4 linked regions of the Drosophila melanogaster genome follow. The protein of the gene in region 2 interacts with the protein of the main gene of each other region in a pairwise test. Each region holds a gene or a part of one and is shown on either strand. Other genes may lie near its edges. The genes, in order: CG15282, CG16904, CG8292 and Usf.

What was found.
Region 1: the proteins of CG16904 (region 2) and CG15282 interact in a two-hybrid assay, tested with the Drosophila melanogaster proteins (one large-scale study listed by BioGRID).
Region 3: the proteins of CG16904 (region 2) and CG8292 interact in a two-hybrid assay, tested with the Drosophila melanogaster proteins (one large-scale study listed by BioGRID).
Region 4: the proteins of CG16904 (region 2) and Usf interact in a two-hybrid assay, tested with the Drosophila melanogaster proteins (one large-scale study listed by BioGRID).

The regions. Positions count from the first base shown.
Region 1 is NT_033779.5:14,710,522-14,713,649, forward strand, and holds CG15282 (uncharacterized protein), read left to right. Parts: upstream 1-1,949; 5' UTR 1,950-2,065; intron 2,066-2,121; 5' UTR 2,122-2,220; coding exon 2,221-2,232; intron 2,233-2,303; coding exon 2,304-2,531; 3' UTR 2,532-2,597; downstream 2,598-3,128.
Region 2 is NT_033777.3:9,815,405-9,818,536, forward strand, and holds CG16904 (uncharacterized protein), read right to left. Parts: upstream 1,576-3,132; 5' UTR 1,554-1,575; coding exon 1,338-1,553; intron 1,266-1,337; coding exon 693-1,265; 3' UTR 524-692; downstream 1-523. Other genes in the region: CG9459 (uncharacterized protein), read right to left, coding at 2,098-2,667, 2,735-2,962.
Region 3 is NT_033779.5:8,216,284-8,219,564, forward strand, and holds CG8292 (uncharacterized protein), read right to left. Parts: upstream 1,735-3,281; 5' UTR 1,617-1,734; coding exon 1,404-1,616; intron 1,342-1,403; coding exon 691-1,341; 3' UTR 568-690; downstream 1-567. Other genes in the region: CG8349 (uncharacterized protein), read left to right, coding at 1-60, 120-556; Snx6 (sorting nexin 6), read right to left, coding at 2,128-2,221, 2,287-2,396, 2,571-2,588, 2,833-3,015, 3,079-3,281.
Region 4 is NC_004354.4:4,544,051-4,550,462, reverse strand, and holds Usf (Usf), read left to right. Parts: upstream 1-1,668; 5' UTR 1,669-2,034; coding exon 2,035-3,077; intron 3,078-3,638; coding exon 3,639-3,909; 3' UTR 3,910-5,846; downstream 5,847-6,412. Other genes in the region: CG11436 (uncharacterized protein), read left to right, coding at 1-53; CG15912 (uncharacterized protein), read right to left, coding at 649-1,389; CG3568 (uncharacterized protein), read right to left, coding at 6,059-6,229, 6,287-6,412.

The sequences.
Region 1 (3,128 bases), on a different chromosome or scaffold from region 2:
ACATCTTCCTCTTCGGAATACCATTTCTTTCGGGCTTAGTTTCCAGTTGAGTTTACGTGAGCTTGGATTTCAAGCTGTGCGCGCACATAAGTTTGCGGCTTAAGCATGTGAAATTCATATGGATGGAAATGGAACCACCCACACGCCACCCCACATATTCAGCTCCAGGAATTTGCACCCACCTGCAGGTGGGGCATAACATTCTGACTGGGCTAATGCATTGCTAGCCACCCAAATAACCTAAGACATTGCGTCGCACGGGGGTGCCAAAGAAGTCAAGCCAAGTTACTAGTGCCAAAAGTTTAAAATTAAACGTAGTTATATCAAAAAAAAAACAGCTTGGTTGGAAACGTAGGGTACTACTGAACTATATATAACGAAGAATGTGTATCTTAAATAGTTTAAATGTTTTTTTTTTACTATTTTATTTAACCTTTCTTTCATTCGCCAATACCAACTTAACGTAAATCAAGAAACTAACGTAGTCAACAGTTTGTTGTTTACCTATCGGTGACGCAAATATTTAATTATAAATTCAGCTCGATTAAAGTTTAAAAGAGCAAAGAATGTCCCAAAAATGTTGCGTTGTAAGCAAAAGGCTAATTATGTTTATGCAAAGTGTTTTTTTTTTGAACTTATGGAACCTAATGGAATATAATTTGAACAAAATTATTGAAAATTGACGGTAATTGAAATGAATTTGAACAAATTTCAGTGCACGGCTTTGGGTGTCGTGTTGGGCCACCATCAAAGGAGTCAAAGAGCGTTGAATGTTGAATGTTGCAACTTTGACACGCGACGCAGACGTTGGCCCAGAGTGTTTTCCCCGGAGCTCTGCAATTTTAAGGGCCTAGGCCTCCCGAAAAGGGTTCATTAGACATTTTACCAAAATTACTGCACATTTCCAAAAAGCAACGGCTATATGATTAGTTTTGAAGCGGTGGTTTATTTGAAGTAGAGGGTTTACTTTGATTTAAGTTAAGTTGAGCGAGTTTGCGTTGTAAGTTACTTGAACATTAAACGGATAAAGTCACTAGTACCCACACTAAACAGCTTACTTGCCAACCGGGAAGAGGGACTTGTGGTGCCCGACTAAACACAAATTCGATGAAATAAAAATAAATTAGCTGCTTTAAATGAGCCAAATAAATTCATTTAGGGTTTTATGCGCTCCACTGAAGTATGCCAAAAGGCACCGTCTTCGTCGTCGCAGTCTTTCGCATCACCCTCTTTTCGGATGGCAGGGTTAAGAGCCAAGTTAAAGGCAACACGTATTGCCAAACTCGATTGCCGCTGGCGCCGCACACCAAATGCAATTTCACTTCACCCTCGTCGAGGTACGGTAAAATTTCCAGGGTCTCCGGTCTCCGGTCGCCAGTATTCCCCATTCGCTGCAGGTGATTCCCCATCGAGACACTTATCTATTGAGTGAGCTTGGTTCGCTTCGTTTGGACCGCTCTTGAAGTGAACGCCAACGAAATAAGAAAACAACAAAGTTTCTTTTGATTATGTCAATGGAATTTGTTTATCTCAACGAAATGTAACCGAATTGAAAAAAATATGTTTTTTTTACGCTCATTTGCATTTACTTTTGCCCGGATATAAATGTGGCAATTGGAAGGGGTGATTTGTTCAAATGTCCAGCTCAGTAAGATTCAATAATTATATATACACGTAACACATTAATGTGATTCTATGGTAAACATTAGAGTAAGGAAGCAAATTTGTTTTGAGAACCCCAGAAACAAAGGCATCATCAACAACGTCAAGTAGCATCAACAACGTCTAGTTTGGGTTCAATATATTGATTCTTGGAAACGTGCCTCTAGAAACTGAATAGCTTAGTCATAAATTCAGTAAAAATACTATTTAAATATAAATTGGCAAACTATTAAAATTCATATCAAAAGCCACGCACCTGGCGCCTGTTCCCCTAAAAAAAAATGGAAACCGGTCAATAACCACAACAAATTCAAAACCGGATTGGAAGAGAAACGCTGGTCACCTGTGAGGAAAGCCCCCACGTCTGGTCCAGTGTCTGGGACAAGTTTTTATTTCAGTGCGGGTAAAGAACCTCCGAAATTCAAACATTATATGAATTCAAAAAAATCGTATAAATAGAGAAAGACGTGACAGAAAGGGCACAGTATCGAGTGCAACATCGAAGCATCCTCATCTTCTGGGATATTAGTACAAATTGAATTCATTTTCAAATTCAATATGAAATTCTTGGTAAGTTTGGCCACCAGAGCTACACCTCGCAGGGATTAAGGACTTTATAAAAATAATAAACGGCCATTCAGGTGATCGTTTTTGTGGCCCTTATCGCCGTTGCTTCCGCGCTTCCTCAATTCGGATATGGAGGATTCGGTGGATTCGGAGGATTCGGTGGCCAACAGCAGCAGCAAGAAGGATTCGGCGGTTTCGGAGGCTTCGGAGAACAGCAACAGCAGCAGGAAAGCTTCGGTGGATTCGGCGGATTTGGAGGAATCGAGCAGCAGCAGCAGCAGCAACAAGGAGGCTTCTTCTAAGGCTGTTACTTTAGTTCCTCGACTAAAAATTAAAATAAATTATTTGAACGTATTAGTATAACAAACACAAAACAGTTTTTGTTTTTAAATACTCATTTACATGTTTTGACAATGGCTTATTGTAGGCCTTTAGATCGACAGAGATTTTATTAATGAGTAACCTTCATTTATTTCGCTTGCTTATAAATACGTTTGGGTTTATTTTTTTGGACATAAGCAACATCAAGAAAAATGAATTATTAAATTAAATTAAAAATTTGTGTTTCAACATAAAAAATTGTTTTTATTTAGCTAATCGAAAATCACTTAATGGGTTAATGACATTTTTGTGCTATAACAACATTAATTGCAAACACTTGAATAATTCGCAAATGATGTTGGCATAAAAACCAAAGGCAGATACTGACTCATGCAAAATTGTGAAATAACCAAATGTTCTGACAGCAATAATTTAACAAAAAACCTAATTTGATTAGCGAAGAGCATACGCCAAGAAGAGCTGATTGCAAACCTGTATTTTTAGTGGGCCCGTCAACCCCAGATACTTGAACGTTTTCAACAACAGAAAAAATCCCCTATAAACACAAACGTTCACAA
Region 2 (3,132 bases):
GTGCCCAACCAGGAACCACTGCACTTGACTGCGGCTTCGCTTTAATGTTGCCGCATGGCCGCAATTATTCAGCTGGCACTTTGACTCTGATTCGCCGCATGCGATTCCTATGCAAATTCGGCCGGCCACGGGTGACCCTTCCGGTGCCATAAATCGCCGGTGCTGGGCCAGGCTCGTTCCTAATATTCTAATTAAATGCAGCATGGAATGTCCAGAGACGTGCTCGGTCCAAGTTCTGCGGAGCATGCAGATCACGTGCCAAGGGGAATCCCCTCGATTCGACGATGGAAACCACGAGTAGTCGAGATGTGGCCGATGGGATTTATTCCGGACGGAGTCTAACTCCTTGACCTTTTCGACTGCATTTGAATTAACTGTCGATGCATTTGAATTCATCTATTATTCAAACGGCGCATATGCAAATTGTCGAGTACACTCAGAGAAACCAATGATGTATCACTTTATAATTCAAATTTAATTTAAGAAGCCAATGTATTGTAAAAGTAATAATAAAATATTTGTTGATTACAAATACATTCTTATTAAATAATACAAAAAAAAAACAGGATCAAAGGTGGGAATTTTATAACAAAAATTGTATGAAAGTTGGAAAGACACTCTTCATTCCTATGCACCCCAATAGTTATGTACATACGAATTACCAGTTTTTGATCACAGTGTAGCAGGTGCATTCAGTTGACCTTGCCCTTGGACTTGACCTCTTTCGGCCGAATGTAGGTCTTTATGTAGAACTTGGTGAACATCAGAAACATGAAGGCGCTGGCCGAACTTATGACATAGATGACACCCCGCGACGCCGAGCAGTTTGGCTGGAAATAGGTGTACATGCAGTGCAGGAACATCAGGAGGAACTGCACCAGCTGGCCCAGGGTAAGGTACTTCTTCCACCAGAGGCTCTCCTGCACATTCTGGCTCTGCGACGAGGCGTAGTAGTAGCCGTACATGACGATGTGCACCAGAACATTGAACATGCAGATCAGGAAGACATGGCCACCAAAACCGTAGAATCGGATCAGCATGTGCGAGGTGAAGACCATGAAGACGTGATGGAACACATGGAGGAACGTGATCTGGCGCTGCTTCTTGCGCAGCACAAAGAATATGGTGTCCATCAGGTCGAGCACCTTGTTCAGATGGTACATGTACGACAGTGTCCTTTCCGTGGACTTTAGCTCATGATCCTGCGGCAGGACTTGCATGCAGCTCAGGTTGTACGGCTTCTGCACGAATAACAGATGGATGCCCTGGGTAATATGGAGCAATCCATTGAAAACGATTAAAAAACTGTGTATATCGATATCCTTCGACTTACGTACCCACACAAAAATCACCGAATTGAACAGGACTTGTCCGATGTTGTAGAACTTGAGCACACCTCGCAGCTGGAGTGCCTCATGCTTGTCCATCAGCTTCCTGCCCAGCTTGAGCACAAACAATAGATACACCGTGATGATGATCACCGAGGTGCGGATACTGCCCGCCAGCGGCAGCTGGACAGGATCGGCGAAGGGCTTATCGAACACCTCGAACATTTTCGCGCACGACTTAACGAGTGACTTGACTTTTACCTTCTGTGATTTCTTTCTTTCACGATAGCCACTATACTATTACCTATTTGCTAATTACATTAGTGCAAATTTCCGGTATGTTTAACCCACTATCAACCTTCAACTTGAATACTTAAAGCTTTGCAAATCGAACTAAATACAATATAAGTAACAGTTCAACTACGTTTTTATTTTCAACATTTTATTAATCAGCAGTGCCATTATTTACAAAATTACTCCTTTTGACATTATTGTCAATACAACAAAAAAAGTGTTCTACATTTATAAAATACTGGCGAGACCCAATTAAAGGGGTATTTTGCATATTTAATAGCATTAAGCAGTCGAGTGGATAGAGAGTTCTAGAAACCAACAAATATCTCCCATTGCTTTATGTAAAATATATATCTATGTATAATATACGATATATACAATGATATAAAACAAATGAATTTGTTGTATCAAAAGCATTTATTAATGACATTGATTAATGTAAGGAACAGTGATATTAAATCTTAATTAGTTTTGCTCATCGGCCCACCGCCGATTTCGTTTTCTTGGGAAGAATGTAGGTGCGAACGTAGAAGTTACTAAATAGAATTATAAATACTACAGATATCAGTGAGCCCCAAGTTGCCGATAATCGTGATGTTTGACAATCAGTTTGCCGGAGGATATAGACGCTGTGCGAGAATATAATAACAAATTGGACAAGCTGAACGACTGTGATGTATTTCTTCCACCAGAGATCGCCACCCGAGTTCCGATTGAGGGACGACTGGTAGTAGTAGGTGTACATCATGGTGTGCACCACCACGTTGAAGGTGATCAAGAAGAATCCATGGCCGCCGTATCCATAATAATACATGTACAAGAAGCCTATGTACACCATGTATACGTGGTGGAAAACGTGCAGGAACGATATCTGGCGATACTTCTTTCTGAATATAAAGAACACAGTCTCCAGCAGATCCATGAGCTTGTTGAAGAAGTAGGAGTAACTGAGCCAACGCTCCCAGTTCTTGTACTCATGATCCAACGGCAGATTGGATATGCAACTGAAGTTATAGTTGCCAGGACCAAGCATGAAGTGCACACTCTTTAAATTTGGAGATACATATAATGAATATTAATATATTTTTGTTAAAAAAAAGAGCATTACTTACAAATATTAACAAAATGACATTGTATGCGATTTGCACGATGTTGTAGATCTTGATAGCTCTATCCAGATTGTAGGGCTTTTGATTCTGCATAAACCAAGGACCCACTATTTTTATGAAGACTAGATAGATTCCAAGGATGGTCAACACCGGCCAGTGGCTGCTGGTCAACGGAAGACGCACAGGATCCGGTGGCGATCGATTCAGGAAGTCCAGCATATGGGCAAACATGTCGGATATCTAAGTGTTATCGACGTCGGTGGAATAGCGACTGATGTGGACTCCGGCCGAGAACCGAGAAATGGTAATCTGCTCGTTTTCGAGGCTGATTTAAGTGTGTGTTTCTATTATACAAATACCTACATACGTAAGTAAAACCTATTACGCCGACCATATAAGAG
Region 3 (3,281 bases), on a different chromosome or scaffold from region 2:
CCGAAAACCTGCCACATCCACAGATGTTGGAGGAGTACACAGTAGCGTTCTGTGCTGTTGGTAAGGCTTGGCTATAATGGTGAATCCTCTGCCATTGGTAATCAAACCGTAATCTCCAGGTGAGGATGGCCGGGAGCTGCTAGAGGCGGCTCTTTCTGCCCGTCGATGTGCCTATGCGCCCTACAGCAAATTCAAAGTGGGAGCAGCCTTCCGTGCGAAGTGCGGCAGGATCTACGCGGGCTGCAACATCGAGAACGTAGCTTTCACTCCAGGCAATTGTGCGGAGCGTTGTGCCCTGGCCAAGGGTATCAGCGAGGGCGAGAAGAAGTATACGGCGGGTGCTGTGGTAGCCTATCACCCAGATGGGTTTACCACACCTTGCGGAGTCTGCCGGCAGTTCATTTTGGAGTTCATCCAAAATGATATTCCTATCTACATTGCCAAGGCTCCGCCGCCGGAGCAAGAGAACTGCATTCCTTCAATTCCGGACGAAGCTGAAGTGCTGGTCACGTCCGCCTACCATCTGCTTCCCCACAGCTTTAACTCATTTGAATGAAATTTTCATCTAAATAATATCCAGAATTTATTTAATGCAATAAAATTATTCGTTCTAATGTCAATAAGTATTGCAAATAATTTAAGTTAGCGATCTGATTAACTTGACAAAAAGTCAAAACAATGTGTAGAGAACTAAACGTATTTGATAACTGGTTCTCCCGATCCGTAGATGCCGTATTCGCTTTTCTCCGCAAACGGAGTGACTTCCTCGTGCACGAGTATGGGCTTAACTTCTGGATCGAATTCAACCCTTCGAAATTGTGGATCCGTGAAATTAGCGCGCACCTCGGTGACCATTCCCGAATGCGGCACTCGTTTGGTGAGGTTTTGAAACTCACAGCGTCGCTTTGGGCAATTATGCGTATTACCCTCGTCACACATTGTAGGATCCTCTTCGCGGGACACTTTCTGGATGGGCGGCATCTTCTCCGTCCAATTCCAGTATGTAATATTGTCGTGGGCAGCTACTCCGCCACACAAGTCCTCGGGACCCCAGCGCACATACGACAGATTGTATGTGGTGGAGGAGGGATCAAGGTACTTGCTAAAGGACGCCTCCGAACGGTCGATGACTAGCTTGGTGGCTACCACCGGAGTGGGCATTGTTACAGGCAATATTTCCTGTTCCTCCGGCAGCTCCTTAAGTACATACGACTCATGACTGACACTAGAAATGGGCTTCATCTTTCGCTTTACAAAGCGAAGGGAACCCTCCTCAAATGGTTTCATATACTGTGTTTTCATGTTGAGCGAGGGATTTCTAAGTGCGTTGGGATCGTTATACTGGAACATCATGGTCACGTTTTAGTTTGGTGCAACATATCTCAGCATATCAATCAACTCACCTGCCACACATAGTTGGCCATGCACTCAGAAGTCGGCTTCTCGGACAGCAGCGGATCTTTTACATAAATACCCTTATCCGTAAACTTGGCGTTCAGCTTGTTACCCATTCTCAAGTCTGTAATGTGGCGATGCCCTCGATAGTACGAGGTCCTCCAATCGGGATCTGTAGCGCTGGCAGGGCGCTTGTAATCGAAGACGCCGAACTCATCCATGGCTTATGGACTTTGAAAATCTATCTAACACTGACAACAAACACAATTTTCAGCGACAATGGAAATGTGCACCCCTTGAGACGCTTAATTTGGAAACCCTTGATGTTGCCCAGTTACCGAATAGACTCCAAACAATGCTAGTATACTGACTGCTCACAAACAGCCAGCCTTCTGTACAATATTTCTCGTTTATATTCTGCTTCAAATGCAAGTGTTTACAATATATGTAGTTGTAGTTTATGCTGTAGAGAGGAATGCTTGTTTGACAAATATAAAAGCGCTCTGTTCACAAAACAAATGAATATTCGTTAATATAATACGTGGGCTAAGATAATAATGTTGCACTCGATTTGGCCTGTGCAATAATAAACTGTTTGCTTAGCAATTAAACAATTGATTTACTTCGTCTCCCGGATGTGTGTAATCGATGAGGCTTGCGTTTCAATGGGGTGTGTAAACAATGTGCGGGTGACTCATCCTTCTATTCCTTGTCTACTTCCGGCTCCCCGTCTCAGGCAATCTCTTTGAGCGCTAGCAGTGATTGGCGCAGATATTCATACTGCGTCTTGGCATGCTTGATCTCCAGCTCTGAGAGCTCGACGAGGCTGTGTTTAGAAAAGCGATAATAAAATGCAGAGCATAGCAAAATGTTTAGCAGCTGCTGACTCACCTCTTCTTGAAAGCAGCTACCCGTCGGTTGCGGAAACCGATCAACTCCTCCTTTCCACATGCAGACATAGATTCGAATTTTTCACAGGCCTCCGCCTGGGCAGTCTCGGCCTAATTGGAGGATAAACAAAAACGATTATATACAGGGAACACAACAAGTGGGCCACAGCAAGGGCATGCTAAAGTGAATACAACAGATTGAGCAACGGTGGAGCGCATGCAGCATTTACGTGGGGTGGCGACACATCTACTAAACCGACGGTTAAAACGTTAAATGCCAAATACCTCTTGCACCTCCAACGGCTGCAGAAACAGAACCACAAACACGCACAAAAAGTGAAGAGGGAGGGACAGGCAGATCAGAGAGTTGTGAGGTTGTGTACGGTAGCAATAAAATACAAGAACGCAAATAATTTGTTATTTGTAATTAGTGAAGCGTGAGAATTAATTGACCCGCTGGAAACTTTTTGTAGGGAAAACAATTGCTCTTTAAACGATCTGAAACATAGTTCTGGAAGAACTAGTTGTGATCATCCCTCAATCTTACCGCATGAACATCCTTGTTTTTGGAGCGAGCCTTCTCCAGGTTTCGATTGGCCGCTTCATAAGCAGCCAAACACCGCAGTCGCCGGATAAGTAGAGCTTTGGCAGCGTCGCTATCCCGCTGATAGTAGCGCAGAGTGTCGCCCAGCTTGAGATCTTGATCGCTAGCCACTCGGGTTTCCAGATTCTTTAAAATATCAAGAGGAAAATTTATAAAATATAATTATAGCGAAAACGCAGCGTAGCGCACCTTGATCCTTTCAAATATCTCCGCTGTCTTGGCCACAAACGTCTCCACATTTCCCTTTTCCGTAGTCGAGAGCTGCGTCAACGCATTCGAAATCTTCTGATGCGAGTCGCCTACATCCTTGTGGCGTTGCGTCATTTTCTCCGTCCTGAGTGCTGCCTCGCGCAAGTGGCCGTGGTACTCGGTAAGGAACTGCAGCTCGTTCT
Region 4 (6,412 bases), on a different chromosome or scaffold from region 2:
AGCTTAAGGCGGCCAAGGCCCAAATGCCTGCGAAGGCGACAAAGGCTACATAGTAATGATTGCCATTACAAACAGATGGACTGGCACATTCCCTTCACAAAGCAACCAAATATTTTTGGTCACAAAATAGCTTGTACGATTAATCTGTTCTTAATTAGTATTTAGGTATGTGTGCAAGAGACGTGTGCGAGTGTGTGTGTGTGTGTGTATAGGATAAGTTTTCAGGTATAGTTTTATCAGGCTTTATACACGGAAATGTTCGAAAGGAGGAGGTTCTTTCGATGCATAATACAGCATCGTTATGTCACTTTAATTAATAATATCTTTTAATGAATATTTAAACAACGACTTTTTCACATTCGATAAGAAATAAGCTTTGAATTGTATTCAACTAAGAACTCTTTTGTTTATTTCTGTTTTCAGACAGCTTATTTTTATATTTGTTATATTATGTTTTATATTTGTCCAAAACCTCCTACCTCGAATTTCCCAAAAAAATATCATTAAGATCGCGTATTTATATTTACCACTAGTTTTACATTCAGTTATGTTATCTTAATGCAAAAAAAAAAGGAAATCTACAAAAATAACAACAGCCATTATCCAATCGAAGAACTGCAGGTTCCCGAGAGGAGTTTCTTTGGTGGATTACCATCGGATTGGTTGGGTTTTTAAGGCCTCCAACAGACTGGAAAGACTGGCAAAAGAATGGGGATTGTCAGCGTTGCTCACAAGCAAACCGCTCCAGCCGCAATTCCGGGCACCTTCATAGTCCATATCCAACTTGTTGCCAATGTGAAGGGCCTGCTCCGCTGGAATTTGCAATCTCTGCAGCGGAATTTCGAAGATACCGCGTTCGGGCTTCATAACACCGGCTTCGTAGGAAGTCAGAATGAAATCGAATTTGCCGGCAAAGCCCATGGCGTCCAGGACTTGTGGCAGTGACGAATCGAAATTGGAGATGATGCCCACACATTTGCCGGCATTTCGGACGTTCTGCACCAACTCCTGGGCACCATTCACGTGACTCCAACAGGCGCTGGTCCGAAAAACGGAAATTAGCCGCTGGCCGATCTTCTCCAGCTTCTCGGGCGCCAGACCGTGGTCCACGCAGCTAAAGGTTCGAGCCACCAGCTGAAGCCACCAACGCTGCCAATCCAATCCCGGCGAGTAACGGCCAAAGTTTGGATGTTCGCTGCTCATCGCCTTGAATTGCTGGCGAAAGCATTGTTCCAATCGGCGGCGATCCACTCCGGTGACCCCGAACTCCTCTGCCGTCTGATGGTACTGGCGAAGGGGATCCTCCAGGCGAAGCAGCGTGTCCGTTACATCGAAGGTCACCAGGCGAAAGCGTTTCAAATTCGCAACAAATTGCGAAGTCAACGACATTTTGGCCAACAGTGTGGTATTGTTTGTCCACTAGATATTACGTATATGCATTTGGTATATTTTAATTTTCGAAAAACCTCCAAAAACACATTTGCTTAGTTGAGAATCGTTTATTGAATTAAATGAAGATGCTTTTCTTCATTTTAAAGTTACAGATTTTCTACTTGTATGAAGAGTTTATTTTTTTTTTTGAATACAAACAATTATTTGGAAATGCCGCAAAAATACATTGCCTAAATTCTGGTATTTTTCGCAACAACTGTACTGTGTGTATTTGTCGGCATATATTTGCTGCCCGCCGGCGGGCACACTAAGCCAAACGAAAATAATTTTGTTACAAAAAAAATCAACAAATCGTATTGTTAAATGGCCGTGCGAACACGAACGACCATAAATCCGCCGCAGCGCTCGATTTCAAATCAAATCCTCGAGGCAGTCGGTAGTTAATAATACCGCAGAGCGGCCAGATCGGGGGATATCTACCATCCATATCCGTGTATCCTCCAACTAGAGATCGGAGCAAATAGTGGAGGAGATCCCGAATAGATCCGGAGTTACGTGATTCCCGGCGACACGGATACGATTCTGGCTGGGATTGGGCTATTGGAATTGGTGTACTGCTAACGGCGGATCATCGATGCAACAATGAATGTTCACAAGCGGCCACGTCTGAATATGGAATTCGGCTCCTCCACCAGCAATACCAACACTTCCACATCCCCGTCCTCCGTAAATATCAGCAATGCGAATCCAACAGCTGGACCTGGCCTCATGACCATTACCAATCACCACACCGCTGATTTGTCAGAGGCCCTGGTCCACAGTTCCTTTGCCAATGGTCAGCAAAGTCTGATTCTCACCAGCGACACGGGAAATCCGCTGATGAATAGCCAAGGTGCTCAGATATTTCTCACCATTTGCGGAGACGAGAACTCGGACGATTCGCAGGAGTACTATACGATTAAACAGGAACCGGGATGTGATCTAGATATCCATTCGCTGCTGCCTAGCAATTTGCAGCTGCCCAACAATCTGCAGCTGCCCACTGGCTGTGAGATATATTTGGTCAAGGAAACCGGCAGCTTAATGGGTGAGCCGCCGACGAAGGCGGCCATCAAGCTGGAACTAGATACGCTAAGCGAAAAGCCGCTCCTTCCATCTGTTACAACTTCCTCCAGCACACAGTCCGCGGTAATAACCGCCCAGACCGTGAATCCTCCCATTCCAGGTAACATCAACACCACCACCAGCACCACTAGCACCACCACCACCACCAGTGTCCTGTATGGCTCCCATGGCAATGGTCATGGCCATGGCCATGCTCACGCCCAAGCCCGATCCCAGCCAGAATCAGCTGGCCAAACACCATCCAGCAAACTGGAGGCGTACAAGAAACGCGATGATAAACGTCGTGCCACGCACAACGAGGTCGAACGCCGGCGCCGCGACAAGATCAACAGCTGGATCTTCAAGCTCAAGGAGATGCTGCCCAGTCTGAGCTCCAGCTCCAGTTTCAGCGAGGCCAGCACGAGTCCCAGCACCAGCGGAAGTACGAGTACCAACGGAAGTAGCCATTCCAAAGGCAATGCCAGCAGTTCCAGCGGACGAGCGCCGCCCAATGACTCCAAATCGCAGATCCTGATCAAGGCATGCGAGTACATCAAGAGCATGCAGGGCGAGATTGACACGTGAGTGGAGACGGGTTTGTAGGGGGGAAACCACTGAATCAGAAATCCACAAATATTGTCCGCTATAAGTTGCTGTACTACAGTTATATATACAGCTATATAACTTTTTTGACTTGTTAATGGTCTTAAAAAATGAGTTTGCTTATAGATCTTAATCAACTCCATTCGCTCAATTGAGCTTACATCATGTATCGATCGCATACGGTTAGGAATAAAGTTACCCAAAGGGCGGACACTTGATCTTTCCCACTTTTTCCGTAGAAATGCGTACTTAAAGTGCTGATATAGGGCTGGTGTTATCTTTTTGCAAAACAAAATCCCCATTTTGGAGCGGTTCTTTTTCGCCACTATCTCGTGCAATATGAGCTGGACTCTCGAATGTCCCTGTGTCACTCAAGTCTTGAACACAACACTCTCTCACACTGATCGAATGCGGTTTCCACCCAAACAAAACCCAACAAAATCATACAAAGCCAATCAAACACCTGATCCACCGATTCACCGATCACCAAACATAAACAAACCAATTACTCAACTTTGTCTATCCCCACCAATAAACAGGCTGCGCGACTGTCTAAGGGAGACGGATAGCCTAAGGGCCAGCAACCAGGCGCTGCGCGAGGAACTTGATCGCCTGAAGCGTCAGCAGCAGCTCCAGGAACGCTTCCACACGGCCGGCGGAAGATCGACGTTTAATGTTACCCTAAATTCGCTGAACAGTTCCGCGACCAGTGATCTATTCGAGGGAATCGATACGACACCCAATCTGGCCGCCGTCTCGTCGCTGGGATTCGGCAAGCGTGGCCTGCTGATCAGCGATTTTGATGAGTAAACAAAATCTGCCTGCGAAATAGGAGTGGATAGACAAAAAAAAAAAAAAAAAAAATAGAAATGAAAAACATATGGGTGGACCGATTGGGTTGCTGGTTACGGGAATAAACAAATATGGAGGCGGCGGATGGACAAGCCCTGGCGCCTTCAACAAACATATACGCCCATCCACCAAAGAATGACGTGCAACGTACACGCAACGCAACACACGCAGTACAATAAACGGACATGACGAGTGATTCCTTGTTATCGCCGCTCTGTTATATGTTATATAAGAAAAGCAGCATATATTACATATGTGTATCGATATGTGTATATGGTTATGTATATGGCTATGTATATGCATGTACATATATGCAGTCGAACTTGGGTGACTCAAGCCAAGTTGTTGGCCTAACCGCTTTGACAAAAAGCTGTTCTCAATTGAGTTTAATTAACGAGCCACGGCACAACACAGCTGCTTTTGTATGTTATATGTATCTGTTATTGGTATTATTCCTAACCAACCCCCCCCTCCAAAAAGTGAGCGCCCAAAAAGAAAAAAAACAAATCATGAAAATAACGATCGAACGAATTTTTGTACCACCCCCATGCCGCGATCATTATCATATTTTGTTTAGAGTCTTGGAATATTAGATCACAAACAAATATTGTTGATAAGAAGCTTTAAAGCACGTTCTGTTCTTCCATGTTTTTTTTTTTCGTATTACATTATGTTTAAGATATACGTAGGTATAGTTGTTTTGATTTGCGCAGCGAATCTAGAACTATAACTTAGCCATGTTTCAAACAAACTCTTTGTGTTCATTCAAGAGAATTCACTATGTATTCACTTTCAACAAGAGATTGTTGTATTTAAATCGAAATATGTTTTTCAAAAATATCAATATTGAAATATTAGCAAAGTACAGCGCAAGATAAGTATAAGTATAAGTAATTTCTTGCTGAAAGTGAAAGTGGAAACTGAAGTGGTTAACAAAGTTTTCGATTTGTTGTTATACAGGAAATTAGTTGTAAGTCTGAAGTTTGAGTAACAAAAGTTCGATTGCACAGATGTGAAATGATTTATGTTCTCGGATCCTCAAGCGGTTTGCCATCATTATATACAAACGTACATACATACCTATGAATTACCCAGAAATACAAGCCTAGAAAAAATCTAAAAGCGTTAACGATACCTACCTATTGCATATATACCTTTAACTAAATCATATTTGGAGCATGTTTGTGCTTGATTTTTCGATTTTATTGTACTGTTTCTCGGCACTAATTACCTACAAAAAAAAAAAAAATGTAACGAAAATATACTATATCTAGTTATATCGTATATATATTATATATATATATAAATATATATGGTCTATATATATATATAGAGAGAGAGAGAGAGAAAGAGCGAGAGGCAAGTGTACATACGTAGTGCAGTCGGTAGAACAGTGGGAATTCGAGCGAGATGCGGCTATATAATGCCGCACTGCTCGCCGGGGGCGTGTGCACCGTTACAGATAAAATGCTATTGTTGATAAAGAATAATATTATATTATATTATATTTGAGCATAATGTTGTTGTGAATGTTATATCACTGTTTTCGATATACGACGCTGTTTCAGAAGTATAAGTATACAGAACAGAAGTGTTTTAAATACGATTCATTTGTAATAATGAAAATGCCAAAAAAAAAAGCAAAAAAAAAAAAAAAGAAATCAAACACACCAACCACACCAAAATACAAACACACTAAGATTCAGGATTTTAAGATATAAGATGGGGTACTGGGAATTGGATTATTTAACCCATGGCCGAAAACGAAATGGGATCTTGTGTTACTTGTTGCTATCTATATGCAGTACATTACAATAATATCACATTTCTGTCATTTGACAGCTAATAATTCTATTCAATTTCAATAAACGAACTCAGTAATGGTTAACACACACAATCAATTTCTCATTCAATGGAATTGTTGGCATGCGGGCATTGATTCTTTAGAAGAATATGGTGGTTTGTTCGCACAGCTGGCTTTCCATGATTCCATAAGTTCATATGTTCATATGTACATATGTACATATGTACATATGTATCAGCAAAAAAGCTGATCTCTTTATTGTAATATATTTTAAGGATTACATAGTGCTTAGATACATTGTGTTTACACAATCAGTCGCCTAGCGTAGTCGCCTACATGGAGTAGTCCGTGTTCCACTGATGCAATGTGCAGATTGGCTCCGTTCATATAGTGCACATTAATGTGGGGATTTTGGAGTTCAGAGATTAAAGTGGAACAGGCTGCTGCTGGATCCCCAGTGCTGATTAGCATATTCTGTAGGGAAATAAGCATTACAAATTGTAAACCTTAGTAGAGTCACTTCTTGCATACCGCCCAAAATTCGTTGCCAGGCAGGGCATTTCCATCCCAGGCGTATGTCACCACGGGCAACATGTCCTCCGTTAGTTTGTCTCCGGGATTTCGGACCGAATTGCGAATGCGAATGCCACCCTGGGG